Drosophila melanogaster: one gene and its partner. The protein of the gene in region 2 interacts with the protein of the main gene of each other region in a pairwise test. Each region holds a gene or a part of one and is shown on either strand. Other genes may lie near its edges. The genes, in order: Col4a1 and dpp.

Region 1 (15,784 bases), 2.6 Mb from region 2:
TAGGGGTGGTGGTGTGTCCTCTTCCTTTTTTTTTTTTTTTTTTTTGGTGGGGCGGAAGACTGCTGCTTCTTGGGAGTCTCTGATTTTGGTGGTGCACTTCCCGTTGGCTTTGTGGTCTTGTTAGTTTATGCAAATTTCACGCTGCTTTCCAAACGAGAGCTCGCAATTTTCACTGTTTTTTTTTTCGAGGTACACACATTTTTTCCGTCTTGCTGCTCCTCCACACCTACAAAAAGCAGCTCCTCTTATCTGGCTGAAGTTACAACTCCCACCGACGACCGCCTCCGCTTGCGTCCAAGTCACACTGGCTTCTGGCACTTTTTTTCCAACTCACTTTTACGATTCCAACTTGAATCGCCCCACAAAGGCCTACCCTTATTTTCCACGACCTGCTTCCAACCACCAATTGGACTTTGTGCGCGTGTGTGTGTCTGCATATCATTATCATATGGCTCGGTCCACCCCACTTTATGCCCCGCAAACCGTCCACGGCGACCCCAATCGTCATCGCCACCCCCTTGACAGCTAACCAACCCCCTCCCCCACCGCAAATCCGCACAAAGAGAGGCAATGGCATGCGCACAAGTGCACGAGGTGAGTTCGCTCTCATCCTTGGCTTGGCATTGCTTTTTTAAGGGTTCTCCGCGACGGGGTTTCCACCACAATAGCCTACCCTTAGCCCTGGTCTTTTGAGGAAGATCTTATCACTCAATGTTAGGGGTAAAAAGTATGCAGTATTTGTCTTGCAGGAAGTTTATCACTGAAGGGCATACGATTTTTTATCCTCAACAATATTTGCTCTAAATAGGCTTGTATGAAATTGTGGTCGTAATTTGTATTTATAAATTTTAGTTTATTTTAAAACGATATGCGACAAGTTTTGTATAGCAGTTGAGGATTCGATTCGTTCGATATTCGTTCGATACCGCGTTTTGTTGCATTGTTTCGCATTTAATCGGTTTCAAAAATAAATGGAACATGCTGGCACATAGTTTATTTTATACTTTTGGACATACGACCGAGGCTAGTTTATTTATTTGTTTCATTTACTTAACATACGTAACGTAACTTAGAAGCAGTTTACATTTGTTTAGAACATTAATTGGCAGATAAAAAATGGCATTGTGGTCCAGGTCGGTCGGTAATTAGCACTTCGACTTGTGGATCCGTTTTTTTTTCTTTTTGGTTAGATTAAGGAATTTGTAGCAGTGTTGGTTCGTCGGTGTATGTATGTGTGTGTGTGTGTTGGTTTGTTTGTTTGTGTTTGTGTTGTGATCGTGTGGGTGTGCACACGATTCGTTGGTAATTTTAAGGCTTTACATTTAGATTAAACTTATGCTCTGTGCTGTGGGTGTGTCTGTGTTGGGATTGGAGGTCCTACGAGGAGTTCTTCATGCACACCTGGCACCTGGACACATGCGACTGCCGCTCGCCGGCCTTGATCGTCTGCTGCTGTGGCCTCTCGAACGGCTGTGAGGACTCCAGGTTGTACATCCAGAAGCTTGTCATCGTCTCATAGAAGTGGCACGTGCCCTTGGCGCCGTTGCACTCGATGAAGGGCGTTGCACGGAAGTCCTCCAAACAGGAGCCAGGCGATTGCAGCGCCTGTCCACCGCCACCGTTGCCCACGGCAGTGTGCTATTATAGGAAATGGTTGGGTTAATATTAGCATCATTATAAAAGAACTATTTAAAATCCCACAAGTAGTTAGGAATAAAGGTTGAAAATTAAAACTATTGTATCAAATCTTTCGCTACGCAGTATCCAACAGATGGCGCAAGAGTGTCGTTGGAACGTGCGCCATCTGCTGGAAAGCTAGGGAAACTTCGGAAACGCATCCCTTGTGGATTTTGAAAACTCTCATCATTCTTCTATAATCTAACGTTATAAGTGTTCCGATACTCACCATGAGGAAACTGTAGCCAATCCAGAGACCCTCCCAGCCATTCGGACAGTCGGGCACCTCTATCGTTTGACTGTGCACGGCGATCACATTAGCCGGCGCCTCACAAACGACGCAACGTGAGATGTACTGGCGGATCTCGATGTTTTCAACGGGCATCATCGGAATGGCGGCGTTGGTTGTCAGCCAGAAGGTCTTGTCATTTCTGGAGGCGTAGTTGCAGACGTTATTCTGACCACACGACAGTACGGGCAGCGTTGAGAAGCGTGGCACACAGGATCCGGGGGATCCAAGGTCCTGGTTGTGGGCATAGTCATTGCCATCGACGTACAACAGGGAGTAACCCGTCCACAGTTCCGTGTGTCCAGCCGAGCAAGCGGGCACCGTTTCCGATTGACTGTGTCGCGTAATCAGGATACCGGTGAGATAGTCCAGAGCAGCGGGGGCTGGAGCACCGGGCTCACCCTTCTGGCCGATCAAACCAATGGCGCCCTCATATCCCCTCTCGCCTGGCTCTCCGCGATCTCCCTTGGGTCCGGGTCGTCCCACGTTACCAGTCTCACCGATCAGGCCGCGCTCACCCTTTTCGCCACGCTCACCCTGGATGCCAATCAAGCCACGCTCTCCCGGACGTCCGGGCTCTCCCTTAGGTCCATTGCGTCCCGGCTGACCAGGTTCGCCCTTGGGTCCTGGTGGTGGCAGCATTCCTGGTTCACCCTTCTGTCCAGGCAGACCTGGTGTTCCGTCGCGTCCATCGCGTCCCTTGGGCCCGGTGAAGCCGCGCTCGCCAGGAGCTCCGACAGGTCCATCGTTTCCATTTAAGCCAGGGTAGCCGGTATCTCCCTTCTGTCCAACCAAGCCGGGCAGTCCAGACGGTCCTTGGAGTCCTCGGTCACCCTTGTCTCCCTTTTGTCCCTCGAAGCCATTCAGACCACGTTCGCCCTTAAAGCCCTGCGGTCCAGTATCTCCCTTCAATCCAGGTGCGCCGGGGAAGCCATCCTGTCCTGGTTGTCCGGGACTGCCGGCGAGACCACGCTCTCCCTTGCTGCCAGCTGGTCCAATGGGTCCAGGCAGGCCCACGAGGCCGGGCTCTCCGGCCAAGCCAGGCAGACCACGTTCTCCAATTAAGCCGGGTGCTCCAATAAGACCTGAATGGGTTAAATAACGTTGATTGGTGACATGGTTATATGAACCAATTGTGTAAATACAAATATGGGATCACAAACTCACCTTGACGTCCGTTTCTGCCTGGGCGACCGGGCAGACCCTTCTCGCCCTTAATGGTAACTCCTGGATAACCGATCTCGCCTCTTGGACCAATGTCTCCCTTGGCTCCGGGAATGCCGTTCAATCCGCTTGCACCTGGTGGTCCCTGCAATCCGCGATCTCCCTTTGCTCCAGCGACGCCAGCAGGACCAGTCAAGCCTCGTTCGCCTTGCTCGCCCTTCTCGCCAGTGTAGCCGCGCTCGCCCTGGGATCCCTTATCACCACGGATGTCGGGAACGGTGGCCGGAAGACCGGGCTGACCACGAATACCGCGCTCACCCTTAGGGCCAGGAGCACCGGTGAAGCCCTGCAGTCCAACGGGTCCAGTCTCACCCTTGAGTCCGGGCAGACCAGATAGACCAGGCTCTCCCTTGTCACCGCGATCACCAGGATAGCCAACAGCACCAGGAGCACCAGCAGCGCCGGGCAAACCATCCATTCCGGGAGCACCAGGAATACCAGGTGCGCCGACAGATCCCTTCTCGCCAGGCTGGCCCCAAACGCCCTGCAGACCTTGTTCACCCTTCTCGCCGTTAATTCCATCTCGTCCATCGATTCCACTGCGTCCCTGGTCACCCTTCTCGCCTGGCGGACCAGCACGACCGTGAACAGCCAGACCGGGCAAACCCTTCTCTCCTGGCCAACCGGGCGTTCCGGCCGGACCTGTATCGCCGCGGAGTCCGGATGGACCGGGTTCACCCTTTTGTCCTTTCTCGGAGGCATCTCCAGGCAAACCAGGAGGTCCATCCAGACCGGGGAATCCTTGGTTACCCTTTTCGCCAGGCATACCGTCCAGTCCTTGTTGTCCAGGGGCGCCTGCCAATCCTTGGTCACCCTTAATGCCCATCAGTCCAGGAGCACCTGGAGGACCGCGGCCTCCCACAGGTCCATCGTTGCCAGTCAAGCCAGTAGCGCCCTTGTCACCCTTGGCACCTGAACAAATGAAACCAAATGGTTCACATCAAATGTTCGAATGGGATACTGCAAAAACTTACCGGAAACTCCGGGAATACCAGCAGGTCCGCGCTTTCCGGGAGCACCAGTAACGCCAGCAAAGCCCTTGGGTCCGTCATTTCCAGGAGCACCACGGTCACCTTTGTTACCGGGCATGCCGACCAATCCGGGACTGCCGGGCTCACCCTTGGCGCCATCACGTCCACGCACACCATCAATACCAGGAACACCAGGAGGTCCGGCAACACCAGCGGGTCCGATCGGGCCCACGTCTCCCTTCTCACCAACAATTCCGGGACGTCCAGATACTCCGGGCAGACCGGCATCGCCTCTATCTCCAGGATATCCCACACTGCCATCGGCACCGGGAAAACCAATGGGTCCGGTTGGACCACGGTCGCCCTTCTCACCTTGCAGACCATTGAGACCGGGTGGGCCCATAGGGCCGGGTCTCGAAATACCAGGCTCTCCCCTCGGTCCAGGCTGTCCATTGCGTCCGGGAATGCCGCGAAGGCCGTCCTTGCCAGGATTACCAGGTACTCCGACAGCGCCCTGGTTGCCCTTTTCACCGCGAGGTCCATTCAAGCCGCGGGGTCCTTCAACGCCAGGAGGTCCCTGTGGTCCAGTGTTGCCCTTCAATCCGGTATAGCCCCTCTCTCCCGGGCTGCCGTCTTCTCCCGGAGGTCCTGGCATGCCGGTTTGGCCGGGCTCACCCTTGTTACCCTTGGCGGGCATCTTAATTTCGTCAAGCGCACAGCTACCGGGCTCTCCCTTCTCGCCGCTTCGGCCAAATGATCCCTTGTCGCCCTTTGCTCCGTCCCTTCCATGGAAGCCTGGCTCGCCCTTGATGGATTGACCGGGAATTCCGGGGTATCCGTCCCGCCCAGCGCGTCCGGGTGTTCCGTCGTTGCCGGGTGCTCCGCTCAAACCCTTCTCACCCTTGAAACCGAATTCTCCTTTGGGTCCAGGGATACCAGGCAGACCTTCTGCTCCCTTGAATCCTTGCACGCCCTTTGCACCTGGCGCACCAGGGTAACCCTTGTCACCCTTCAATGGCTCAATCAAACTCAAATCGCACAGAGCAGGTTTGCCAGGCTCTCCAGTTGCTCCGGGAAGACCAGTGCGACCGTCCTCTCCCTTCTCACCAGGCGGTCCAGTTTGTCCGTTGATTCCATCGTGTCCACGCTCTCCGGGATATCCGCGCTCTCCAGGCGGTCCTCGTGCGCCATCCTTTCCGGGAATTCCAGGCAGTCCGCTCGTTCCCTTATCACCCTTTGGTCCGGCCCTGCACGATGAGCATTTGCCGCCGACGTCACCCTTGATACCCATGTCTCCCTTTTGGCCAGGAGTGCCGGGACGACCAGCGTCTCCCTTTTGTCCAGGAGCACCAGCGGCACCGGGAGTTCCAGGACGACCCAGCTTGGAGTCACCGGGAGCACCAGCATTGCCCTTGAAGCCGCGCTCTCCCTTGCTACCCTTTAGTCCGGGATAACTAGGACGAACGAAAATTAATTCGAATTAAATAAGATCTTTAATGAAGGAAAGTAAGAACAGGACTCGGCTCCACAGTGGGACTCGACTGAGTGCTAGGACTATTAAATGAATCATTGCACTTACCCAGGTATGCCAGCATCTCCCTTAGATCCTTGAATGCCATAACCGGGCAAACCGGCGTCACCCTTCTGTCCCTCTGGTCCCGGTGGTCCTGGGTGTCCAATGGGTCCGATGGATCCCTTTGGTCCATTAAGTCCTGCGGTTCCCTTTTCTCCCTTTTTGCCAGGAGGTCCCTCGTTGCCGGGGCGACCGGGCAGACCAGCACCTCCCTTTTGTCCATTGTATCCCTGAGGACCCGGTAGTCCATCAACTCCGTTTAATCCCTGGGGTCCAGGTGCGCCAACATAGCCGCGGGGTCCTTTGGGTCCCGGGGGTCCTGGTGTTCCACGGCCACCGCCTGGCGGTCCCGGAGGACCGAGCAGACCAGGCTTACCTGTCGCTCCAGCACGTCCTGGCTCACCCTTCTGTCCGGGATTACCGGGCAGACCATTAAGGCCCGGCTCGCCACGATCTCCCTTTTGTCCTGTAGATCCTGGGGGTCCAAAGTTACCTTGGCGACCCTGTACGTATATATTTCATTATAGAGGTTTCAACTTCCACTTCGATTTGGAGCCTTAAGTATGAACTCGACTTACGCGATCGCCTGGGCCGCCGGGCAGACCCTTCTCGCCCTTCTGTCCATCGAGTCCAGTGTCGCCTTCAGGTCCGGGCTCACCCTTGCGGCCAACTAGGCCAGGCTCTCCCTTCTGTCCCATATCGCCGCGAGGTCCCATCACCGTGTGGGTCGGTTTGACGGGAAACGAGGACGCGGGCTCACCCTTCTCGCCCTTGATACCCGGTGCACCAGGCTTCATGGGTCCGTAGCAGGAGGCACCCTTCTCTCCCTTCAGACCGTGCTCACCCCGGGGTCCTTTGGCTCCGTAAGGTCCACTGTCGCCGCGCTCGCCCTTTTCTCCAGGAAATCCTTGTGGTCCAGCCAAACCGGCAGTCCCCCTCCAACCGGGCTCACCCTTCTCGCCCTTCGCGTAATCACCGTTCTCCTTTGCCGGTTCACCCTTCTCGCCCTTGCTGCCAAGCTGGCCGGCATATCCGCGAGGTCCGGGCATTCCGGATAGACCCTCCAAGCCAGGAATACCATCCTGTCCGTCGCAACCGTCTTTACCGTTGATACCAGGGGCTCCGGGATTGCCGGCGGGTCCCTGGACTCCGGGTACACCAGCCTGACCATGAAGACCAGGCGATCCGCGCTCACCCTTATCACCACGCTGTCCGTATGGGCCGGGATCACCCTTCTGACCCTTGTCACCAGATGGTCCCTCCATGCCAGGGAAACCCATTTCGCCCTTCAATCCCGTGGGTCCAAGAGGGCCCGGCAGACCACGGTTGCCCTTCTCCGCTATGCACTTGGGCACACAGCCCGCATATCCGGCCGTACAATTCTTGGGCGGCAGATCGCCGCGCGCCACGCCGGCAGAGTCTACAATGTCGTAACTGTCGTCGATTGGGAACTTGGGTTCATTTCGATTGTAGTGTTTCACGGAGTCCTGAATCGAACCGGCCGTACCAGCCGTCTTCCAAAATTGCTGCGGGGAAAAGGAGTATATTATTCAATGTCCAGATGGATGGCATGGGCTACGGTTATCTTACAGCGTCGGCACCGACTAACGCTCCCGCGATCACAGCGGCGTATAGCAGCCTGCAAAGAAGTCGACGAAGATCAGGAGGGTTAGGAACTGTGCTTCGTCTTATCAGTCTAGCTATTTAATTGGACATAGCTCTCTTCGATTGGCAGCTCTCTCTTAAGCCGTCAATTCAAGAGAGTTTGCTAAAGGCGCTTAAGAGAGAGCTTACAAGTTTTTAAGAGATCGCGCTTCGAAAAATTAAAAAAAAATTGAACAAATGTGATGTTTTAAATTATGTATTTTTGTATTGCTGATATCTAAAATATTAATTTAAAAACTAATATTTGCTCTTTCTGAATGGATTAGAAAGAAAAAAATTGGCAATACTTTTTTAGGCCATAACTGGGTTTTAATCATTAAAAATTTCAAAAAAATTTTAAATTTTTAAATAGAGTATTATTAGTTGTTAAGTAAGTATTATTGTCATGGTTTTTAATAATTAACAATTGCTTTCTTTGATTAACTTAAATTTTTGCAACCATTTGTATTATTTTTCTAACTTTTGTCATTTTTCTTACCGCTTCCAGAAGGGCAACATGATGCCCTATGCACTTAAGCCTGCACAATTATTTGCTCTGTCCTCGTCGAATTTGAAGTTTATATGTTGCCGTCGCTGGGCCTGGAAAGATGAGCCAGAGAATTGGGCACTTTAATTTCGCAACAGTTGCAAAATAAATTGGAAATATTCTTAGAGGAATATTATTTTATTTAATATTTGTGGGAAAATCGAGCTGGCTTATTTTTTTTCAACGATTTAATTCTTGTATTTCGTTTCATTTCATTTCCAAGCATATACACGCGACAGTTTGAGAGGCACTGGAACTGGTACGAGACTCGCACAACGACTTGCTGGATATTTTCAATTAATAGTACGCGTTCTTCCTGATTTAATTAAGATATTTTATGTTTATATTATTTTGTTGTTGTAAAAGCTCAGTTCCTTACAGGAATCAAATCCTATTTAAGGGACGGTTGGACGGGACGGGACGGGACCCTAATGGAAACACACATTCACAACCGAGCGATCCGATCCGAACCGATCACCACTCCACAGCGCTGACTAAAGACTAAAACCAGCTGGCCAGATCAGCTCCGGACCGAGACCAGACTACTACTTACTCGGGGAGACGGAACACGACTAATTATAGTATAAGTTCGAGCGATCCAAAAGCCAAACGCCGATGCCCCGATCTTCACTCGTCGATCGTTCGGCTTGGCACGATCTCGACGATCGGGTCTACGGCTCATGTACACTATCCGTGTGATTCGACGGGGATTGGATGGGCATCGGATCGGTTGCGATGGCTGCGAGGTGGCTGGTGGGAGGTGGGTGGTGGCACCATGGCATATAGAACGGATGGGCGACGGGTCGTCGTATGTAGCAACACTAATCCCACAAGTTAACATAGTCGCTGCGGAATGAATGAAACTTGGCGATAAGTCCGTCGCTGCTGTTGATATGCCACATGCGACTTAAGTTGCTCAATAGCACATCAGCTTCGTTCCGCCGGAGCACCTCCCCGGGAGCACCTTCAACCAGCTCTCCGGCTCCCAGATCCCAGCTTCCAGATCGCAGCTACCAGCTCCCATCTCAAAATTAGCTGATAGCCCCCGCCCTGAGATCGGGCACATGGCTTCCGTTTTGGTCCGCCCCTGCGGCTCCTGCTTTTTGGACTTTTTTCGGTGCTCGGGCAAGGGAAATTCCGAAGGCTTCGCTATCAGGCCAATGTTCTAATTATAACCTCATCAAAATTTTGTGTGTACTTACAATAAGTATGATAAAAATATCTAAAACTTAAAGGATAACAAAAACATGTGTAAACATTTTATTGGCATATACTTTACTTTTAATAGGATTATAGTCCTTTTCTAAGTTTTAAAAATATTCTCTAGCTTTCAAAACTGATATAATTAATTTGACAAAGGTTTTGAAGATTAAATCTCTTTTTAAGCTTTACTTGGTATATTTTTATTTGCTATATATAACTGATTATTCAAATCATTCCATTCTTTTCTAAAACAAAATATTTTAGTTTGATTGATTTTAGTATGTCGATGCAATTATTGTTTCAAAGAATGGTCTTTTTTCGATTTTTTTTGTATCTATCTACGCTTTATTAAAACTAAATGTATCTTAAATGAAATTTCATTTTAAGTGCCAAGTTTTATACATACTTAAAATAATTATTGTTATTTAATTAATAATAATTATTGAGATCCATTCATTTTGATAGTAAGTACGACATAATACTTACTAATACCGCTCTAAACATAAATTAATAAGATTTTAAGTTGCCGAAGTGCGACATCATTTAATATCCTAATCACAGCAGTTTCCTGAGAAGACATATATTCAGGCCACTGGGCCATATCCGACTTGCACGTACCCTAGAACAAAAGAGCTTTCCCAACTAGAACGAGGCCTTGATTATAGCCGCCCTATCAAGACTTATTTCAAAACACTGTGGCCCCGAAACCCAAAATCAGGCTCGAATTTCGAAAGGTTCCCATTTGGCTTTTCTGCGTCGGACTTATTGGAGCTTAAAACTCATGTTCGGTTTTCAGTTGATCAGTAGTTCGTTCTAACAGGAAATACTCAGCCATATCCGTCTTATCAGCCTCACATATGCCATATATGTAAGTACTAAATGAAAAAGCCTTAACCTAATCACGAGAAGCGCGACAAACAAACTAGCATCTAATTGTATTGAAATCACTAGGATAGCTGGGATTGAGTATTAGAATAGCTTTTACCCCGCAAGAAATATCGTGTGTCGCTAGTTGGAACTATCATTTAAGTTATATGCGGATGGTTATTATGTATAAATGGTATGTGCCTGTTAGTAATAGTTAGTAATAGTAACATTAATTAATAAATTATTTAATAATTTGTATTTTCCCAAGAGACGTGCCTAATAAAAAGAACAAAGTGAGAATCTGATTGATCATACCCCTTCAGGGATACGGTACCAAAATGGGAAATAGAATTTGTATGCTTAGAATCGGGCCGCTTTGATTTGGTTAGAGGGCTCTGCTCCTCATTTCCTCGTTTCAAGGCGTCAAAGTGCTAAATTCCGAACCATAACCAGAGCCCGGAGTCACATCTACATCCAAACCTCCATCCAAATCTCCATCCAAAACATCCATCCGGGCCTGTCCCTGGCCTGTGCCTACTACACTCACACTGCTGCAACTTCCACTTGCGATAGTATTGGTGGGCCGAGAGCCGATCGCGAACGGCCGAACTTTTACGAGTGGAGCCGAGCGTGCCGAGTGTGCGGGCGAAGAATTCGAATTTCTTTAGCGGGACTCGTGTTTAGTAATACTTCGAACGCTAGACGATCTCCACATGTGGGGAGAGTGCTGTGCCCGACGATCGCAGCAGCAGCAAATCAGCGTTTTCTGTTAGTTTCCCACACTTTTCCGATCGTCAACTCTTTAATACTTGATTTGCTAATGTCGGTTTTATTTGAGGGCATTTTATAAGAATCGAAAATTCTTCAATTTCTAATTTTATGCTTATTTCGTTGGCAGTTTCGTGTGTGTTTTAAGCGGGGAGAGACAGAGGCAATTAGATAGAGTGCGACATAAATACGTTGCGGATAGGACCAAAGGACCCAGCGAGGATGTTACCCAGAGATCTAAGGCATCTCTCGGGTCTTCTGGGCGTCGTTTATCTGTTGGGCAGCCTGGTTTCCGTTACCTTGGCGGATGGAAAGGTAAGTGCAATCGAAATGCTTAGTATAATATCCAAAAATTGACAGCTCTTTAAAGACTTGGATTGAGAAATGTATAGATTGTAGTGCAATAACTTTTTTCAACTTTTTTTTATGTCTTAAAACAACTTAGGAAATGATATTTAAAATAAGGCTCTTACTATTTAAAGTGCTTCTCAGACCATAACCGTTTGAATTTTATGAGATTGCTAAATACTAACCAAAGTGCTTGTCAAACTGTATATGCCTATTTCATTAACGCAGCATTTTTAAGTTACTTGAAGCTTATAACAATAATATTCTTAATTAACTTTGAAAGAAAATTATCATGTCCACCAATGCTCTCCAAACTGTATCCGTAGTCATTGATTTCGCATTTACATAGTATCAACCATAAACAACTATGTAAAATTGGGTCAGCTCGGAGCTCGACTCTTAATCACCGCTGCTATTGTTATTGTTATTCTGCAGCACTGCACTCTCTGATTTATTCACACTTCCGGCATGAAAACATCGCGTAGTTGCAACTCTTTGGCTTCGACAGATAATTCCTTTCAGCTCGTTCCCGATTCCGGGGGTTCAATGAAGTCCAAGTCCAGCTTGGGATCGATTATGTCATTAAATAATTTTGGCAACATAATTTTGTAGGTGAAGAGGTTGGCGATAACGCCCATTGATAACCCCCCTAATCTTTCAATTTGGAGGACATTGCTTTTTTGGCATACCAATTGTGGTTCGCCATTGAACGTTTCCGGCTGGCAATTAGAATTATATTTAATAACCGCCAGATTAGTCGCTTAATTGGCATATAATCATTTGTAAAATGAAACGGGAATGAGTATGAAAAACAAAGAATGCGCAGGTTCTTAGTTATTACCCCAATTGAATAGATTATTATTCAAAATAAGACACATTAACCATTGAGGTTGCGAATATTTCATTTATTTATGAATGATTTTTTAAGCAAACACAAAAATGATTTGACACAAAAGTGCGAGGCAAACGCAATACTCAATGTTGCCCCAAAAACTATGCACTACTTTTTAACACCGAGTTGCCCAATTCAGTGTACCTTGTGTATGTACCAAATTAAATTGAGTATTAATATTTAAATGGCTAGGGATCACAGAGATTTCGTAATGCTGGATGAAAAATGGAGCACATGCCGGCGGCACCTACTTTTTGATGGCATTCGGCTGGTCTTATCAGGCTGCGACTGATCTACACACATTTAATTAGACCTATTGCTATGTTGGCGGCATTGACGCCATTGATAGCATGTTCCGCTGATTGCGACATGGCTTTCTAGACTCGAATTTAGAATAAATACACTTTAGAATTGAAACAAGTGTCGCCAGCAGTCGCAGAGGCTATCGGCTTGGCTTGACTTTATTGCCTTTACCAGAGATCAGAGTTTAGTTTTCATACCAGTTGAGCAGTTAACTCAATGCACAATTCGTGCACTCAATTCGTTGGGATCTGGAAATCTGGCCCCATCGCTCACGTGTTTGCCATCATAAGTGTGCAGCTCGTCTGACGACTTTGGTAATCCGATCCACAGCTCTTTTCGCACTCGGTTACGTGGTCAATGCCATGGGCTTGGGACCCTAACTCCCGGATTCCGAGTGAGAGCTGCCAGGTCTCCAGGTCTTGTGGGTTGCCAATGGAGGACTAACCGCAAAACGATGAAAAACTTGACTTCGCTTAGCTACCGTTGCTCGTGTTACCCTCACGATAAGCGAAGGCTTACAAAAAAAGTTGTTTCACTTGCAACAGTATTTGAAAACGATATAATTAATTATATCCTGGGTGCATTAAGCTAATCTGAATAGAAGGGGATTCACATTTTTCGCTGGAATTAGTTTTGATTAGAAACACACATTGTATGTATGCCATTATTTACAATCTATAAAGAAATTTATAAAGGGAATTATCTGCTATGAGTAAGATATATTCATACTTAATGTTTTTAAGGGTATTTATTCCAGCATCATTTGAATATACTTATTAAACAGTTAACAGCTCTCAGGCAATGGCTCTAAAACTGTTCTCGCAATGGGTTTTGCAACCAGTTTGGCGCTTCATTAGCCGAACAAATGATTTCCTTTTCCGTTCCGCGAAAAGAGAGCCGATCGCTTAAGAGCCGCTTCAATCGAAGAGCAGAAGAGACAGAGAGAGATGAACTCATCGATTGCAGATGCAGCTGAGGCTTTCAATGAATGAATTTTGATAAATGGTCTTTATCAGTCGCTCTCCCCACTTTACCACTGCACCACTACCCCATGCACCCTTTCTCTTTTCTCCTGCACTTGCCCAGCTATAAATACATATATGGAAATGCCGTTATTGCCTGTGAATAAGTGTGCTCTTTCGCCAGTGCGCTTGTGTGTGTGTGCGCAGTTCGATTCCGACAATTAGCAGCAGCTCAAGTGATCGGTGAGGGGCTCTCTTGGAGAATCACTGGAATTGAAATGAAGAAGGGTTGCCGGGGTATGGCGACTTCAGGGGGTGAGGGGGTCGGCAATCTTTTGACGTTCTGCACCATTTCAAATTGGAATTGAAAGTTCTTGGCTGTTTGTTGTTTTGTTGCTTCTGCGGCGGCTGCTGCTGCCGTCCAAAGTCTTAGAAACTTCGATGGTGCACTTAGAAAAATCTTAACTACATACAAAACAATATCAAATAAATACATAATCTAAAACCTTCGAAATTTACCATGAATTCCGAAATTTTCTTATAAAAAGCTTGTAAAAATATTGTATTATATTGAATTGGTTATTTAAGAAGAGGAGTAATTTCTATCAAATTATAAAATTATGATCTAGCGGGTTTGATTATTGCCACTCAACCATTTCTTTCCGTGCACCTTCCCTTTCAGTCTTCAGTTTCGTTCTCCTTGGGTTTTGTTTATTCCCGATCCTGGTCCAAAGTGACCCGATGCTGCTGGCATAAATCACTGACCACCGCCGGCCAGACTGAGCGGGGCCAACTGGTGATGGGTGTCCAGCTGGTGGAGGGGATTTCGATCCAACTGAAGACCGCCCAAGAAAACGAAGAGCGGGGGCAGCAGCTCGGAGCTCGGACAACAATGATCATCATCTCATTGTTGGACTCCTTGTGGAAGTTTATTTGCGTGCTTGAGCTGAATTGTTTGGCGAGTTGCATTTCAATTTGACTCAATTATTTATTTATCTGCAACTGAATGCGGAAATTATGCGGAGTCTCGCTCTCTATATGTACGTGTATGTGTGTGTGTGTGTGTGTGTGCGATATGGACAACATGTCGTATGAGTGATATGGGCAGGGGCCACTTAGTAGCCGCCTTTGTAATGAATTTCGTGAATTGAAACGATTATTTATGAGCGAAGCTAGTGAAATTGGGTTATCAGTCATCTGTCTCATAACTGCAGCTCGCTCTTCTCCTTTTTTTTTTGCCGCCTTATCAGTCCGTACGGGCTCATGAAATTGATATTCATCTGAGCATTTGAAATTCTATACATATATACATATATTTAGACACTATATGGCATGTACATATGCATATGTGTACAATGTATGATGCGATTCCATTGCTGAGATTCCATTTCAGACGGCAGACATCTACTGTCATGGCTAAAAATAAATTCTGCTTAATTTGCTTGGTTAACTTTCTAGTGCTTTGATTGTCTGAATTATTTGCAGGCCATTGAGATGGTTAACCAATGGCTTCATGATTTCAAGCGATTTATAACTGGGTGAAATCTAACTGGCAGCTCCTTTGATGCAAAATTCGAACGATAATGGTTGCTGGCATGATGTGACTTATGATTTTAAGTGCATTTTCAAAAGGTAACAATATAGTTTCCCAATCTGACGAATGTATGTACATACTTTGATAGGCGATTCAATCACTTGGCGCTTCCTTATCGCCACCTTATTGACGATCGTTGCGAATATTAAGTTGTGACAGCCCGCTGTCCATCAATTTCAATGTTAATTTGAGTGCACGGCAATTAGTTATCATCTGTCAGGCTTGTGTCCAAACAATTATGCGCCACGATGCCGTAACCGGTCACTCAAGCAGATCCAACTGGGTTTTGCTCCAGACGCACGGTTACGGAGTGCGTGGGTGTTCTCCATGTGCCAGTGGCAGTGCAGATTCTTTTGCATCTTCTCCACATGTTGACTTAATGTCAAGCCGGAGCAAAATGATGTCATGCAGCAAGTGCGCCCGTCCAGATGTGCATCCATTACTATGCTATGCTCCACATGAATGTTGGTGTGAGTAAGTGCGGGGGTTGCCTTTTCATGTCAATCACACGCTGCTCATATGTTGGCCCATATTCGTTTTTTTTTTTTTTTACTGCTACCCTGTAGCTGTGCCCCAAAATCGGGCGTTTTTATGCCAACTGAATCTGGCATGAATCTGGCACTTTTGTAATGTGCAACTAGGTTGAGTGGTCAATAAAATGCATTTGTAGGATGTCAGCCAACTATTTGAAGTCAGTTTTGTGACTATAGCATGTACTTATGTATGTTTACCCAATAAAAGAATAACTTATATTTTACATTTTACTTAGTACTTGCGCGTCTAATACCTTCATTTGAATGCCTTTCATTGTTGCATGTGTGCAGTGTTCCAAACGTTTATGATGCACATTTAACAACAGATTTGTTGTTGCTATTGTTGATGGTGCAAAAAGTTCCCACTCCATTTCATGGGGCATATAAAT
Region 2 (15,597 bases):
TCCCGAAAAGGTATTCGCTGACTTTCAAAAGTTCGATTTGCGGCCTCAAATCGGGGAAAACGCAACGGATATATCCATAAAACTCAATGGAGAGCGCCAAGACATCAGCGGCAAGACCTGCCACATAGTGGGGTTTGGCAAAGCAGTCCTGGGAATGGCCAACAAAGTGCAACAGGATTTGGGAGCCACCTCGGCCGGTGGAGTCCTCAGTGTACCGGTAAACACCCTGAAGCAGTTCCAACAACCGGTGGCACCTGGTTTGGTTGTCCACGAAGGAGCAGCCAACAATCTGCCGGATGAGAATGCTCTCAAGGCAGCCCGGGAAATCAAGCAGCTGGCCGAAAAGATGACTGCCCAGGACATCCTCTTCGTCTTCATCTCCGGTGGCGGTTCTGCCCTTTTGCCCTTGCCCCGGTCACCTTTGACGCTGGAGGACAAGCGCAGCATAGCGGATAAGCTCATGAAGCGGGGAGCCAGCATACAGGAGATCAATGCTGTCAGGATTGCTTGCTCGGACATAAAGGGCGGTCGCTTGGCCAGGTTGGCCGGCCAGGCGGGACTCCTGGTGACCTTTGTGCTCAGCGACATCATCGGTGATCCCTTGGAGCTGATAGCCTGCGGTCCCACCATACAACCCGAGGCGGCAGCATCTCCATCCGACATCCTTAAAAAGCATCATGTGTGGGAGGAGCTGTCCCCCGAGATTCGGCGGGTCTTTGAGCAGCCGGAGGAGCAGAAGAACACATCGCTGCCCGAGCACAAGGTTTTTGTGGTGGGCAGCAATGTGATAGCCACTTCCACAGCGGCTCATGAGGCCGAAAGGCTGGGCTACATTCCGTGCGTGCTCAGTTGTGCTGTCCAGGGAGATGTGGCTCAAGTGGCTGGCGACTATCAGAGATTGCTGCACGGTATCCAGGAGGCCAAGCAGCATGGCATACTGGATCCTCAACTCAGGGAGAAGTACGCCTTTGGGGAGAGAAGTTATCCGACTTTTCGGAGGGCCCTAGAGGACCACATGAGCAGCAAGAAGCCACTGTTCCTGATCTGTGGAGGAGAGCCAGTCATTAAAGTTTGTGGAAACTACTTCAAATGGTCATCAAATCATTCACGATTCTTTTTCCGTAGGTTTCTGGCCATGGATTGGGCGGCAGAAGCCAGCACTTGGCCCTGCTGATGTCGCAGGCTCTGCACCGCGACGAGGCCATGCGGGACTGCACCTTCCTGAGCGCCGGAACCGACGGCATCGATGGACCCACCGATGCGGCCGGAGCTTTTGGAGACAGCAGCGTGGTGGAATCCTATCTGGGTGATCATACCCTCGATGAACTGGCCGAAACGCTGCGAAACTGCGACAGCTACAACTTTTACAAGAATCTCGCGCAGGGAGAGCACCACGTGCTCACTGGACACACGGGTACCAATGTGATGGATCTGCATTTCCTGGTCGTGCCGTAGTGTAACGCCCTCGCTCGCCGATAAATCCATTTAGTTGTATACTTGCATATACATATATGTACATATGTGGGGCAGTTCGTTAATGGAGCTGCTCTTGAACCGCAGACGGGCAATAGTCGTTTAAATTTGTTTTTACGATTTTCCTCTTTAATTTTGCTCTATGAAATTTTTACGACTTTTTTCATTAACATTTTTAATATCCATTCAAATTCAAATAATTTTGTGATCTTTATGCTCTGAGACGGTCTTCAGTGACAGCATAAAACGGCAATTAGCTTTCGTCTCCGGTTATGAAATCAGCCTGGAATTGTCTTGATTGTAATTATGTGGCAGGCAATAGGCAAACCGAACGACAGATGTGATAAATCAATTTGTATATGCGATCACCACGGAGCATAAATATATCTGAGTAATTTCCATTTAATTTCCATTTCTTTTGTACTGCGTCTCATAAAAATGCGCTGCTAATAAATCATCTTAATTGTTCGAAACGCCAAAGGCAAACAGTAGCCAACGAGCAACTACAACAATAGCCAGCGATAATTGCAATTAAAAATGTAAATTTATTTGCTTCGCTTTATTTTTAGACATACTGAAAAACTAAAACGCGACGCGCGCCCAGTTGCAATTTAGCGATTTTTACTATAGCTAACACTTGAGTGCATATTTCTCTAATTGTGATTGTTTTGCCCGCTTCTATCAACGCTTCTTATTGTTTACTTCGCGTGGAACACCAGCACATACATATAAGTAGTATTATTATTTTGCCGCGCATATGCCACAATTATTAAATAATCACATTCGCCAGTCACTCTCTTGAGCTATTTTTGCTCGATTAGGTTTGTTATTAACTGCATTTCGCAGTGCACGCCTTCAGAGATGACTAAGTTCTGATTCCTTTGTAACTTATACTATGACTAATCTAAGATATCTACCTACTGCGCACAACAGTCAATTGTCTCTGTGATTGTGATTGTTCTAAGATACAATTGATATGTTCTGCTGCACAATGAATGCTCCCACTTTAAATTTGTGGAGTAATTCCAAAAGGATATAAGTGTCTAATAAGTGTGCTAAATCATTTCAATTGTAACAAATTTGTACTTATATATAAGATTTCAAGAGCTCGCTTCTGAGATAAGAGGCTACCAGGAAGTGCCAGCCTCCAATTAAGAGCTCAGCTGCCCACTGGTGGACACGAAGGGCCCACTCGGAGATCCGTGGCTGGCGATTAGAAACGTTTCCGTTTCCGCTTCGATGGCACAGATGTCATCATCATCGGCGGCAGCTATATTTAACATTTTTATTAACCACTGACCACCAGCAACTCCCCTCCCACAGATGTGGAATGTCGCGTCAATTTGTCTGGCCCGGCATGGCAACAATCTCGGCGGGCATCTCATCCTCACCATCACCATGATCATCATCTTCATCATCATCATCATGAGCATCAGCATCGCCATCAGCATCGGAGCAGCAGATACGGCCATCGCCAAGATGGAGTACAAGTGTCGCGTTGATTTATTAATTAAGCATTGGAGCGCGGCAGCTGAGCAACGCGTGGCAGCTGACGACGATGCTAATGAAGTACTCGCTGGAAATTTTAATTAACGATCTCCGATCCGATCGCCATATAGCATAGATTCCTCTTGTGTTGACTTATGACATCACACCCCGAATAGCGCAACACCAGCTGCCAGCGATCTCATTGCCAGACAAACTGACGACGCTTATCACACAATGTACAAAAAGCGCTCCAAACAAGTGGCACTGGGCAACATTGCGTATACGCCGCATGGCCCCAAAGCCAACAATTAAACACTATTCACCGCATGTCGCCTGCGGGCGACATACATAAATTTCATTCGGTCGCCGCTGCTCTTAATTTGTCTAGACAATGGCAAAGTTCACTCCGAACAAATATAATATAGGCAAAGTTCAATTGGCGCTCTTGTCAGCTGCCTTAGTTGGGGGCAAATGGACACAAATTCCAGAAAAGGAACGGAAGGCACATGCATTCTGTTGGACTATAGTCTTGGCTACGCTCATGTGAATCACTTTTCAAACTTTCGGATGGAATCTCTTAATTTGAACCAGATGTGTGGCGCCAACTTGGGACAGATTTTGGGGGCGCAACGAACTTATGTGGCAATGAACTTGACACTGGTTACTCCGAAGACGATTGCCGAATTTTCATTTTCCCTTCCCATCCCTTCATCTAGAACTTCATTTAAAACACAATACTTTTGTTTGAATATAAAATTTAGAAAGGTTATAGCTTAAAAGCTAGTATAAATTTAAATTTTTCACGCTTTGGATAGCAATTAGACGTACTTAACATTTTAGATACGCTACCGTCTAAATAAAAAATGTGGACTGAGATTGACTCTTCAAGACTATTGCTTGCCAGAGATCCTTGACAAAGATGCGCTGGATGTCGTTTCTGCTCCTAGGGATCCCCATCACGATGCTGATGGCCGAACGCACCCCATATGTGTGCGATGGCAAGGACGACCGGGTCTGTGACGAGTATCGCTGCATGTGCCGGAGAAAGACGTCGACAGAACCGTATCCTAGAACAGAGTATGAATTTTAAAACAGAAATAATTAAAGGACTTGTCGCTCGAGCTCTTCCTTCGGCGGTGTCTCCTTTGAAAATTCAAATAAATTGGAGGGTTCTGGAGGCCTGACCAGCCTCAAATTTAGATCGTCAGCCAGATACAGGAATGGCTTTTCCAGGTTAAGTTTTGACTTCATCCGCCCATATGTTACCTGCAGGAACGCCGTGCGATCATTCATAGGCTCACTCTTGTTGCCGCAGATGATCACCGGGATTTTGTTGCAGACGCGCACCAGAGCGCGGTACCAAATATACTAGAAATTTGTAATCATATAATCATACCATAGTAATACTTTATAGGTCAGAAATGCTTTCAATCCCTGTTTAAGTACTCCATTGAGTAGAAGTTATAGAAATTGATTTCTCTTTCAAGCAAGTCTTTAAAAATGCATCTAACAATGCCATCAATTTTAAAAGGTTTCCACAAAGCTCTTAGCTCCTCACAAACCTTTTCCGATCTTGCAACACTCGAGTACCGATGCTCATCGCAACAATTATGTCTAACCGATGTTGATGTTGGCATTAATAATTTCGGGCTGCTACTTGCCATTTATCAAAAGCACTGATCTTCCCATATGCCGAATGGGCAGCTTAATGTCAATCGGCTCTTTTCCAAGCTCTTGGCTTCTTTGCCCCCGCGCTCTGGGCCATTAATGCATTACAAATAGGTGCGGCAGACCGCAACAGCAACCTGGGCAAAGGGACTTGGCCACAGACGCATCGGTGCCGTTGACCAACGTGACTGAGATTGAGATTGAGGACTGCAGTTCGCTCTGGCTACCTGTGGAAAAGTGGAAAGGCAGAGAACTGAAATCCAGCCAGCAGACGACCTCAAGTGTAAGGCAGCGCAATCGAGTTGCTGCAGCAGCAGCAGCAACATGCAACATCCATAGTCCAGAAGCAGTTCAAGTTTGCGCCAAGGAATTCCTTGCCGCTGAAATAATTAAGCATTGCAACATTGTTTATTGTTGCTGTTGTTGCTCCTGCTGCTGCTGCTGCTGCTGGGTGTTGCAGGCTCGTTTAACAAGGCAGCCAAGTTCTCAACAAGTGCCTCCTCCTGTTCTACAAGTTTTTGCCCCTCCACTCCGATTTTTTTCATTTTTTGCGCCTGTTGCTGCTGCTGCTGGTGCCACTCTAAGGAATTTCCATTTTATTTACATTTAGAATGTGCCGAACGGACTCGTCGCATGTAAAGCGGGCCAAATCGAAAGCTATTAGACCTATTAGCATATCGGGCTGGAACATGGCAAATTTAGTGGCAACATTGTTGCCTCCGCGATAAACGCACTAAAAATCAAGTCTTCACCTTTATTACCGCATCGAAGTGCCAGCGTTATGGCAATTCGAAAAAGAATAGGAAGCGATCGTTACTTATAGAAAATATAGATAAATAAATGTGCAAAACGCCAATCGATTGGCGTACATTTCATGGCGTTTACCTGATTGTTGTGGCCAGCCCACAGTTAACTTAATTGCCACTTCCCAAGCGCTTTATTTACGGAAATACTGACGGCTAAGCGACTATTTTACACGCAGAGAAATGAAGTGCAATTTAGCTAATCAGGTAATAGGCAGGCATTTTTACAAAGTGCGTACTTGTTTCCCATAATCTTTCGTTATGTTGTAAGGATGTTATTCCTTACTTTACAACATTTTCATTACATAATGGAATTGTAATTGATTTGAATATCTATATTTCTCTGGGTGCATCGACTGTGTGAAAGTGTTGTCAATGCTGCCGCTTGGCCATAGCCTACAATCGCGATTGGCTGATCGAGTTGGAAAGGAAAATAGCAAGAAATCATAATAACAACAACTAAAATTTTCCATAACCTTAAAAAATAGAAAAAAAATGAGGCAGCTATTTATAAAATGCGCAATCTGCGAGATGCGTGCGGCAATCTGTCCGTCGGTCCGCCGATGCCGCCAGCTGTGTGCCAAGATGCCGCTGGCCCCCCGAAGTCCCCTCTGTGGAGCCCCCGTTGGATCCCCCCTTGGAGCCCCCCGCCGCACTGCGCTGTGTTGTCTGCGTTTATTGATTTATTAGAAAATTCCAATGAACAAGTTTTAATACACGACACACGGCGAACGATGAAGTCGATGTTGTCAGCGTGCTTGTTGTGCTTTTTCTGCTCCTTGGCTGCTTGTTTTGTTGCACTTGTGTTCCTGAGGCAAGCACAATATACGGGAAGAAAGGCTGTGGGAAAGAGACAGAACAGCCGCTGGTAAAAGTAACAAGTGCAATATTTTAATTACATCAGCGGCAAGAACAACAACCAGATCAGCGGCATCAATTGAGTTTGCTGCATGGATTTTGGGCAGCTAGCGTTGCCAGATGGGCACACGAGGCGTATGATTGATATGGTGAGTAAGGCTTGGGGAATCATAGTATCAAGGCCTAAATAACAAATAAAACATTTTGAAGGACAAACAAAATTTTTAAAAATATTAAATAGATCGATGAGTCAAACGGAGCTCATGTGTGTGTTATCTGCAGAGCCTGACTTTTGTGCTTCGATTTCATTAAACTCTCACTTTGGCATATCTCAAAACGATCTAGCTCCTATAACTCGAACAAGCCGAACAATCCGGCAACGCCGATCGACTCGAAAGATTGTCTGCTCGGGACTCTAAGCATTTTGCAATCAATTTAGATTTGCATTAGCAGCGCTGCAGTCTCGAGAAGTCCGCGACTTAGTCCGAGATTTAGAGCCAAAAATAAACCGAACCAGTTGCGGCAGCGCCGAAAAGTCAAATGTGTAACAGCTCTGTGGCTTTGGCTCGAAGAGAGACTTGAAGAAAGTCAAGATATCGCAGCTGAGACAGAAGACAGAAGACTGAACACTAAAGACTGAGGACCGAAGACTCTGTGTTGACTGTAGACTGTGGACCGGAGACTGTGGACTGAAGACGGCGACTGAGAGAGCTGAAATATTGTAATTGTGAGTCTGGCTTGTTTGTTATTGTTGCCTTAGCGGTTGCTTGTTGTTTTTTTGGCTTGATTAATAATTAATCGCACTCGCACACACACACACACACACACATACTGCCTGTTTTAATTACTCAACTTAAATGGCGCTTTGAGCGACTTAAGCAACTTGCCATCGTGGTCGGCAGTGTGTGTGCGATTGACTCTCACTACTACGAGCTCAAAACTAACTAACTAGCTTGTGTTGCTGTTGCTGCTTGTGTTGCTGTTGCTGCTGTGCTGTGCTTTGCTTTGATGTTGCTGTTGCTGCTGCTCGGCTCTGCTTCTGCTTTTGCTTTTGCTGCTCCGTCTCCGGATCGCTTTTGCCTGCCTGCCTGTTTGCCTTGCCTCGGCCGCTTTGGACGCTCATTCAGTTTTTTGCGCTCAACGCTCGTTGTACGGAACCGAAAAACGCGTTCGTTCGTCCACAGAGTGTCGCCAAATCGAGGCGAAAGATCGCTGGTTACAACCGAATATACAGCCTCTAATCACTTTTTTTCTGCTCTGTAATCGTTCGCGGTTTCTGCGGCCATAAAATAAAGTAAATCCGAGTTAAACGCTGATAGTCGCGCCTGAAGAACCACAGAAAAAACAGAAAATATCTCCCGTCGTTTCTCGTTCTCGTTTCCGCGATCGCTCGTCAGCCAGCCAAAGCCTCTCCGATTTTTGATACCGATTCGGTATCAGATAATATATTCGTAACCATCGCCATTCTTGCGAGTGTGCCAGTGTGAGTGAGTGATGTGTCTGTGTGCCAAATCCAAATCGAAAATAGCCAAAGTCTGAGCTTGGCCACCATCGTCAGCAGCAAACATGTGAAGTGCCAGTGATTTCCATAAGCCAAAATCGAAGTCGAAGTCGAATCGAATCGAATCGAAGCCACAGCGAGATAGATAGGTCGAAAGTATTTGAGTGGATATCCGAGTCGAACCAGTGTATAATGTATGCGACGTTCGCGAACTGCCAGAATTGGTTGTTGTTGCAGTTGCAGCCAAAGGATTTGTGGATTTTGGAGCGTAACTGAGCGGCGTGCAGCAGGTGCACCAGGTAAGCCAAGCCGAGAGTGTTAGCAAATAATGCGCATACGCCATGGTGGCTGCGTGTCCAATTCGAGATCAATCGAATCAATTGAACGGCTGTTAAACAGCTGACTGGGAAAACTGGAACTGGGTGCAATGCGTGAGTCACATACACATATACATATGAATACAATGCATATAGACTGGCTGATTACTTATGTATATAAATGTGAAAGAAATAAATACATGTAACTCAGAAGTCAGTGGATTATTTCTGAAACAATAGCAATTGCAGTATATTATGTTCATTTTCTTCAGAGACTTTAGCACTGTTTAGATTTCTAATGATAAACTTTGCAACCATTTCACTTTTATGCATTTACATTTATGAAGACACCTAAAAAATCTATATTACTATGAGGAAATCTAGTTTGCTTTAATAAGTTTGCCAATAGATAAGTCCCTTCCGCCAACTTGATATCACTGCATAAAGTTTCGACAGATTTACGCCAGTATCCGGGGAAAAAGTGAAATTCTATCTCTGGACCCCGGACATTATCAGCAGAGACATGTGGAGATCGGGTGTCACTTGCATATTCATGGGGGCCAAGTGATGAACTGAATTAACGGCATTCCACACCAGTCACAATTAGCGGCTGACACTGACATTGGCCATGGTAAAAAACCCTTTGACCATATGCCATATACTCGTTAATTTATGACGCCATTTGGCTAATTGAATAATTATATGTGACTGGCTGGGCGTGGCTGGGCAGGGCTTGCTTCGCTTAGCTTTGCTTTGGTTTGGTTTGATCGATCACGATTGCATAAGCCATCCCACATGGGATCGGAATCAGCATCGAAATCTGAATCTAAATCTTAATCGGTATCTATATCGATTTATTCGATTTGCCTTGCTAATGCGACTGGGGGCACTAAATCAGTGTCAAAGTTCACCCCACTAGGCTCAATTAGTTTATTAACTGCGATTTGCATTTGCATTCGCAGGGCGCAGCAAGCCCGTTGGTTAGGTGGGAAATTGATAGCTTCGAAATGTGCAAAGGTACAGAAATAAAGCCCGATAACAAAACTAAGCAACCGCAGCAGCAGCAGCAGCATCAGCTACATAGAAGCAACACATCAGCAAGACAGAGCAGCAATATAATGAGATATAGCTACACAGATATAGCAACAGCTGACGATGAGACCATGAAGGTCTACCACTTTCGGAAATTCGACGAAAATGAAATAAAAATCGTGAGCACGCAATGAAGCAGCCAAGTTGAAGTTGGCTTCCACTTCCATGCCATCCCATCACCATCTCCATCTCAATCTTCATCTTGGCCTGGCAAATCACGTTGCTGATAACAACAACTGAGCAATGCGGCAATAATTTGCTGCCCATGCCCGCTTCGCCCCGCTCTCGGCCAAGTTAAGTGGCTACTGGTCATCAGCAGGCAGCAACAACTGGCTTAGGCCAACATTTTTATCAAAAGTGGTGGCATTAGCAACCGCATCCCCCCCGTTGGCCGCCGAAAGAAACTGGTCAGTCTCTGGAGGCTTGAGACTCCCAATAGTTTCACTTATTTTACACGCATTTCTTAACGATAAATAAATTCCACAAGCAGATGCGGCCAGCAACAGCGGCAACAACAACTTGGCCCGGTCAGCAACAACTTTTGCTATCACGTTTCCATGCAAACAACACACAGCCACAAAAATATTTCCATTGGTATTCGCTTGTACTTGAATTGCCCCACGAAAGATTGTGGGGGGGGGGAGGGTGTTCGAACAAGAGGCTGCAGCAGGTGGCAACTGCAACTGCAACTAATGCTTCAGGTGCTTTTGGCCCGGACTTTGCACCTCAGTCTACCGTTTGGGCCATTCCGATGCCAGATTTCCGCCTGATGTGGCGCCTCAAGGCAGCCGAGAACGATATCCGATATCGCTGGCTGCTGCTCGATGGGTTTATGGTTTATGGGATACACCTTGACTGGAAAACCAATTGGATTGCACAAGAAGTGTGATTTGATAGGTGCAAACTTAAATTATAATTATGTGTTATTATATCATAATCATAGCAAGAAACGCTAGCTAACAATTCCAATATGTATCAATATTCTGACTATGTCAACTATCTAATAATATTAGTTTACATTTTTATTTAAAAGTCGAGCGAGCCCAGCTCAATCACCTGCTAAACTTCTATGCTAAACGAAGATGAATGAACTTAGCTTCAAGGTGGCCAAACGAAACGACACGATTTGGCAACGATCTTCTGTCTTCTGTCTGTCAAATCGAGAACTGATCAATTTTGCTTTTTATTTTATAAATTCTCTCTCGAAAATATATTGTATAAGGTCATCTTCTTCGAGAACCCGACCATACTGGTTTTTTTTTCGGTCCAGAAGATGCCAAGCGCCGTAGTTTCACTCGGCGTTCAACGCGGCGTATGCCTAATATGCGAACTTGAGTTACTTTTCCAATTCACTTTTGCCCCGGCCTTTCTCGCCGCCCCGGCGATTCGCCCAAATAACGCCATCGGTATCGGTATCAATTTCAATTTCGCAGATATACATTTATTGCATATGATTTATCATGTCTGACACTTGGGCCAGACCACTTGTCAAATGGGAAATAGCCACGACAACATGCTGTGATTTTAGATAAATTCATAACTCAGCCCAACTTGTCTTGCCTTCAAAGTTCAAATCACTTGGCGCTCTCACATGGGCCACATATATATATACACACACACATACGCATATTTCATGCTAATTATTTATTTATGAGTTATTTTTATTCGATAAGCCTCAAATGGAGGGACACCATTTACATTTACAGTTATGCGTCGAACATACATATTTTCCGTTTGTTTTTTCAGTTTGAATTTAATTTTCCCACTTATTCCACTGGCCATTTCAAAGGCAGCAAGTCAGCTGTTGCCACTGGCGAATTCGTTTTAACGAACTTGAAATCGCTTTTCGAGCTTCTGGGGAAACGATAATAAACAGCCACTTATTTTCATATATGTATTTCTGTTTGGCTGTATTTTGTAGTCTACTGGCAATGGGACACTAATCAGTGGACTTCGTTACAAAGCTTAGTTTGAAGTACTATTGAATAGCAGGAGCCTTGTGGTTCCTTCAAACATATGTTTTGGATTTTGATAAGTAGGACAGCAGGAAATTCGCAAAGCGGATTGATTAGGGGTCGTTGTTTTCTCGGGGTTTTACATTTGCAAAGTAACAAAATGGATAACAAATTGTATATCAATTCATTCATACTTTAGCTGTGGCAAATATATATATAGTATGCAAGCTTAACTTAGGCTTTAGATTTCGGTTTTCAAGATCTTCCCATTTTCAAAAGACTTCACGCCCATTTGACGACAGAACACGTTCCTTGGGTCTGTTTTTATCCACTGTTTGTTTGTTTAATTACAACGTTGTGGTGATCATGATCATCGGTGGAAGAGAGATAGTTATGGACGACGGCTTCACAGTTAGCTGGATACGGCAGTTGAAACCACTTTCGGTTGGATTCGAAAAGCGTAAACTAGATTCGAAATCCAGATCTTTGCAAGCATTCAATAACAAGATTTACATGTCTTAGTTGCCAACCACAAAAATTCAAGGAAACCTCAGCAGCAACAAAAATAATTGCAACGCAAACAAACCATAAAGTGCATATTTTAATAGCTGCATTGAAGTTTCAGTTTTACAACTCCCAGTGGGTCAGTGAGAATAAATATATATATTTCTAGTTATAATACTTATCGTAATGGGGGATTTTCCAGTTAGTCAGAGTGGCCGTAAAGTCAACATCCTGCGGTGCATTCACATTTTTGTCTCCGACTCCAAAGTGCTCCATTTTCATTGATGCAAATCTCTTATCAGGCCAAGAAAGTGCCAGTGGCACAAACACACTCATTCTGGAACAGGGTGATTAAGGATTTAGTACACCATTATATGATATATAAACCGTTTTCTAAGCAATTGCAACTTTATAGGCTGTGTGATGTGTGCTGAATAATTTACATACATACGTCTTGTGTTTAATCTTTCTAGGTAAAGTAAAGTAAACTCTCTATATACGCCTATATATATTTATATAAATATATATTAAAGATATTTCGCCATTGTGGACACCCTGTTTTTCGGGGTCTGAGTGGGACACGCGTTTATTCCAGCTCCGCTCTGCTTCTGTGGCTATCACTTCAGTTGACTTTACTTTTAAGGCGGCGGTAGCCTCGTCGTCTCCGCCGGTCCGCCCTGCCCCCTCTTCCCTTCTACCCACCGCCACCCAGTTACCTCGCCGCCCCTGATAAGCGCCCACTGTCCCCCTTCACTGAATCCACCCCCCCCCCCCCATCCATTGGCATCGCGGCAAAAGGTCTTCTTTGTTGTGAGTTGGAAAAGAGGAAAAAATCATAATAACAACGAGCAGAAGAGGATCGCCAAGAAGGGGCTGGAAAAGCAGCACGAGGTTTGCTGAGGCGGCAACTGCGCTTGGTTGTAGCAATTTACAGCAACAGCAACAGTTGCACCGTGAGAAAATGTTGTGTAAAAAGAACACTTGAAGCAAGAAGAACGGTCATCTGTCATGAGTAAATATCAAAAGCATTACTCCTAAAATTTTAAGCTAAGGTCAAACTCAATAAGACTTTAGCTTTTATAGTTTTGGCAAATTTGTCACTGTGTACCGACTATGCATATAATAAAAGCAACAAATATACTAACAACAGCAACAATAGCAACAAAAATGACAACAAAAGCAAAAACAACGAGCGTCATCGACGACAACAACGAACGACGACAACGACGACCACTCCACCAACTGGCATGGCAGTGAGACGTTGATTGCCACGGAATGCCGTCAAACAGGTTAAAAATGTAGGTAGAAATTCAATTAAAAATTGGTTATTTATTTATTTTAGCATGCACAGAGATCGACTCCGCACACGTTCATATATATATAGCAATAGCCACCGTGAGCTCCCCTTTCTCCGGCAATTGCCGCCCGTCGAATACTCGAGTTTATTTAATTAAGCTTTATTTGTGGCGCCTAAACTGCCGGCTGTCAATCAGGCGGCGTCAAGCGAGCTCGATTTGAAAGTGAAAACCCCGAAAAGCCCAGCAGGTGGTAAGATATCTGCAGTGGACTCCCAGTCACTCAGCCACTCAGGTGCAACAGATGCAGCTCCACAAAGACTCAGCTGCAACTCGTTCCGAAGAAATTTGCAATGAAAACTAATGCGGCCGAGAATTTGCATGCAAATCAATCATATGAGGGCGAATTCGGTGGGGTAGTCTCCGATTTGATACCCTGTAATTTACATCAAATAGCAATTAATTTGTATATATACCAAACCACGAATCTAACGATTGCTATCAAACATATTTCTAGATCTATAGGTAATGTAATCTTAGCTCCTTCGAATCTCCTAAGTGGGGCAAGCCGATCTTGATCCGAATCGAACCCATTAGTTTGATCTGGTTGCTATACACCAGCATCCAGTTAAAACCGATAGCATTTTCTTTTATTAATGCAAACCGCAAAAAGTTAATTTTAGCTGGGCTATTTTTAAATTAGCTGCTTTTGCGGCCCACTAACGATCGATCGAGTCATGTGCGATTTGCCCATATACGTAAGCACAGATATAGTTACGACCCCAAAGCCCGTAACTGGTTGCAGATATTACGAGTGCGCGATCTGAGTTCCCCAAACGGAGAGGGACGGATAGAGAGAAAGGGATAGAGACGGCGACAGTGGGGCGAGAGGGGCGAGAATCATCTCAAATTTTGCCTGATGGATCGCTTCAATTTGTGACTGTGACGGCCATGATTAAGATACTAATGCGATCGATTTGGAGACCGCTTCTGCCCAGCTGGAAGCTGCCTGCCTGCCACTATCCAACTTTTCTGCCCTCTGACTCTGAGTGATCTTTGCCCAAAATCAAAATTCACACTCAGATTCACTTGAATCGTTTCGATGTCGGTGTAAATTAGCCAAAAGAACTTCGCTTCCAGGAAGTCCACCTACCAGGTGATTCCTAATCTCGATCGCTCTCCGATCCGTTTGATATATGATGGAAAAGTTTCGCCTACGGCCGAAAGTGGAAAAATCTGCGGTTGCTTGGCTGGGGATTTTTCGCCCAAATAAATGAAAAACCATTTTAGCCCGCGAAATTTTTATCCAATAAAATTTCGCCAAGTATGTGAAATAGTACATTTCAAAGAGTATGCATGACTTGCACAATTTTGGGAACTGTTCTCACAGACTATGAGAATGGTGAAATGAATCCCAGGAATCATAGTTTTGTACAATTTATTTGGTCGAGACTTGTATGATTCACATATATGTATAAGTGTTTAAATAACATTAAATGTAATTTAAATGGAAAAGTAGTATAAATAGGAAAATTCTTCGGTATATAAAATTACTGATATCTTGTAGATCCAAGTCTCATCAAACAAAATAAACTATGATGTCGAACTGATGGTCATTAGGATTTCTTCAATCAGTTCAATGGTACTCCACCCTATAAATTGTGCCTATATATCATCAAATCTGCGCAATAGTTGGCCCAAGGCTCTCCGCGGGTAAATGAACTTTAGGAACTGCCATGACCATCGAGTTGGGCCTACAAAACGATTCGCCTTGGAAATTTCATGCAACTTTCAGCGTGTAAATAATTAAACCATAAAAGTCAATTGAAATTGAGAATGTTCCAATCGATCCAATCGGAACGCTTTGAGGGAGCCACAGCGAGAAAATAGTACTTATTTATGGCATTTATGGGCCGGGCCATAAAAACTTATGGATAGCCAAATTCACGGATAAATTAAAATAATTGAAATACTTTGAAAACTTAATTGCGATAGGCGAGGCGAGCTTGTTGATGCTAACGATCAAACATAAATTTCAGTGGGCCAAGAGCAGGCCCAGATACAGATACATGTGGAGAGGGAAGAGCAGATACTTAGATATAGACGCAAGTGTATATTTTACCGGCCGGCAAGGCGCGCATATGTATGCAATATGTTTTTTCTCTCTTTTTGCCTTTTCTCGCTTTATTTTTTTCAGCTGGCCTCGAAATCACTCGCCTCATTTCCATGAACGCATTTTCATTGCGCGGCCACAAATCATAAATGTTTCGTTCTCCCAGCCACAAAATATTTAGACAGATTTTGTTGCCAAAAGCCGTTTACAGGTGGCTGCGGAGCTGCGCGGATTTGAGTTGCTTCAGCCGGGATATTTCCTTGGAGAAGCCACTATGCAACATCATCATCCCAGCTGGGCGGCGTGGTCAAGGTTAAGCGGCTACTCCAACTATGCATAAATGTATCTGAATCCGATGGATGGTATCTACACGCGGAAAAACACAAGCAAACAAACAATTGCTACTTTGAGCATCAATCAAAAGCACTCGCCTTTTGTTTAGGAAGCCTTGCCATCTGTTCATTTTAAATACACTTATGGTGTATGTAGTAAATTAAATACCTTTTTTCTCCCTGTGTACATCTGTATCT

What was found.
Region 1: the proteins of dpp (region 2) and Col4a1 interact in binary tests that used the Drosophila melanogaster proteins (3 or more experiments, as listed by UniProt).

What each region holds. Positions count from the first base shown.
Region 1 is NT_033779.5:5,022,331-5,038,114, reverse strand, and holds Col4a1 (collagen type IV alpha 1), read right to left. Parts: upstream 8,507-15,784; 5' UTR 8,369-8,506; exon of another isoform or gene 8,305-8,368; intron 7,979-8,304; 5' UTR 7,898-7,978; coding exon 7,878-7,897; intron 7,374-7,877; coding exon 7,325-7,373; intron 7,261-7,324; coding exon 6,313-7,260; intron 6,238-6,312; coding exon 5,741-6,237; intron 5,616-5,740; coding exon 4,165-5,615; intron 4,103-4,164; coding exon 3,134-4,102; intron 3,052-3,133; coding exon 1,907-3,051; intron 1,639-1,906; coding exon 1,378-1,638; 3' UTR 836-1,377; downstream 1-835. Other genes in the region: vkg (viking), read left to right, coding at 10,986-11,078. UniProt on the Drosophila melanogaster protein: Collagen type IV is specific for basement membranes.
Region 2 is NT_033779.5:2,420,961-2,436,557, forward strand, and holds the start of dpp (decapentaplegic), read left to right. Parts: upstream 1-7,411; 5' UTR 7,412-8,090; intron 8,091-15,597. Other genes in the region: CG9886 (uncharacterized protein), read left to right, coding at 1-1,069, 1,126-1,455; CG44139 (uncharacterized protein), read left to right, coding at 3,881-4,051. UniProt on the Drosophila melanogaster protein: Required during oogenesis for eggshell patterning and dorsal/ventral patterning of the embryo.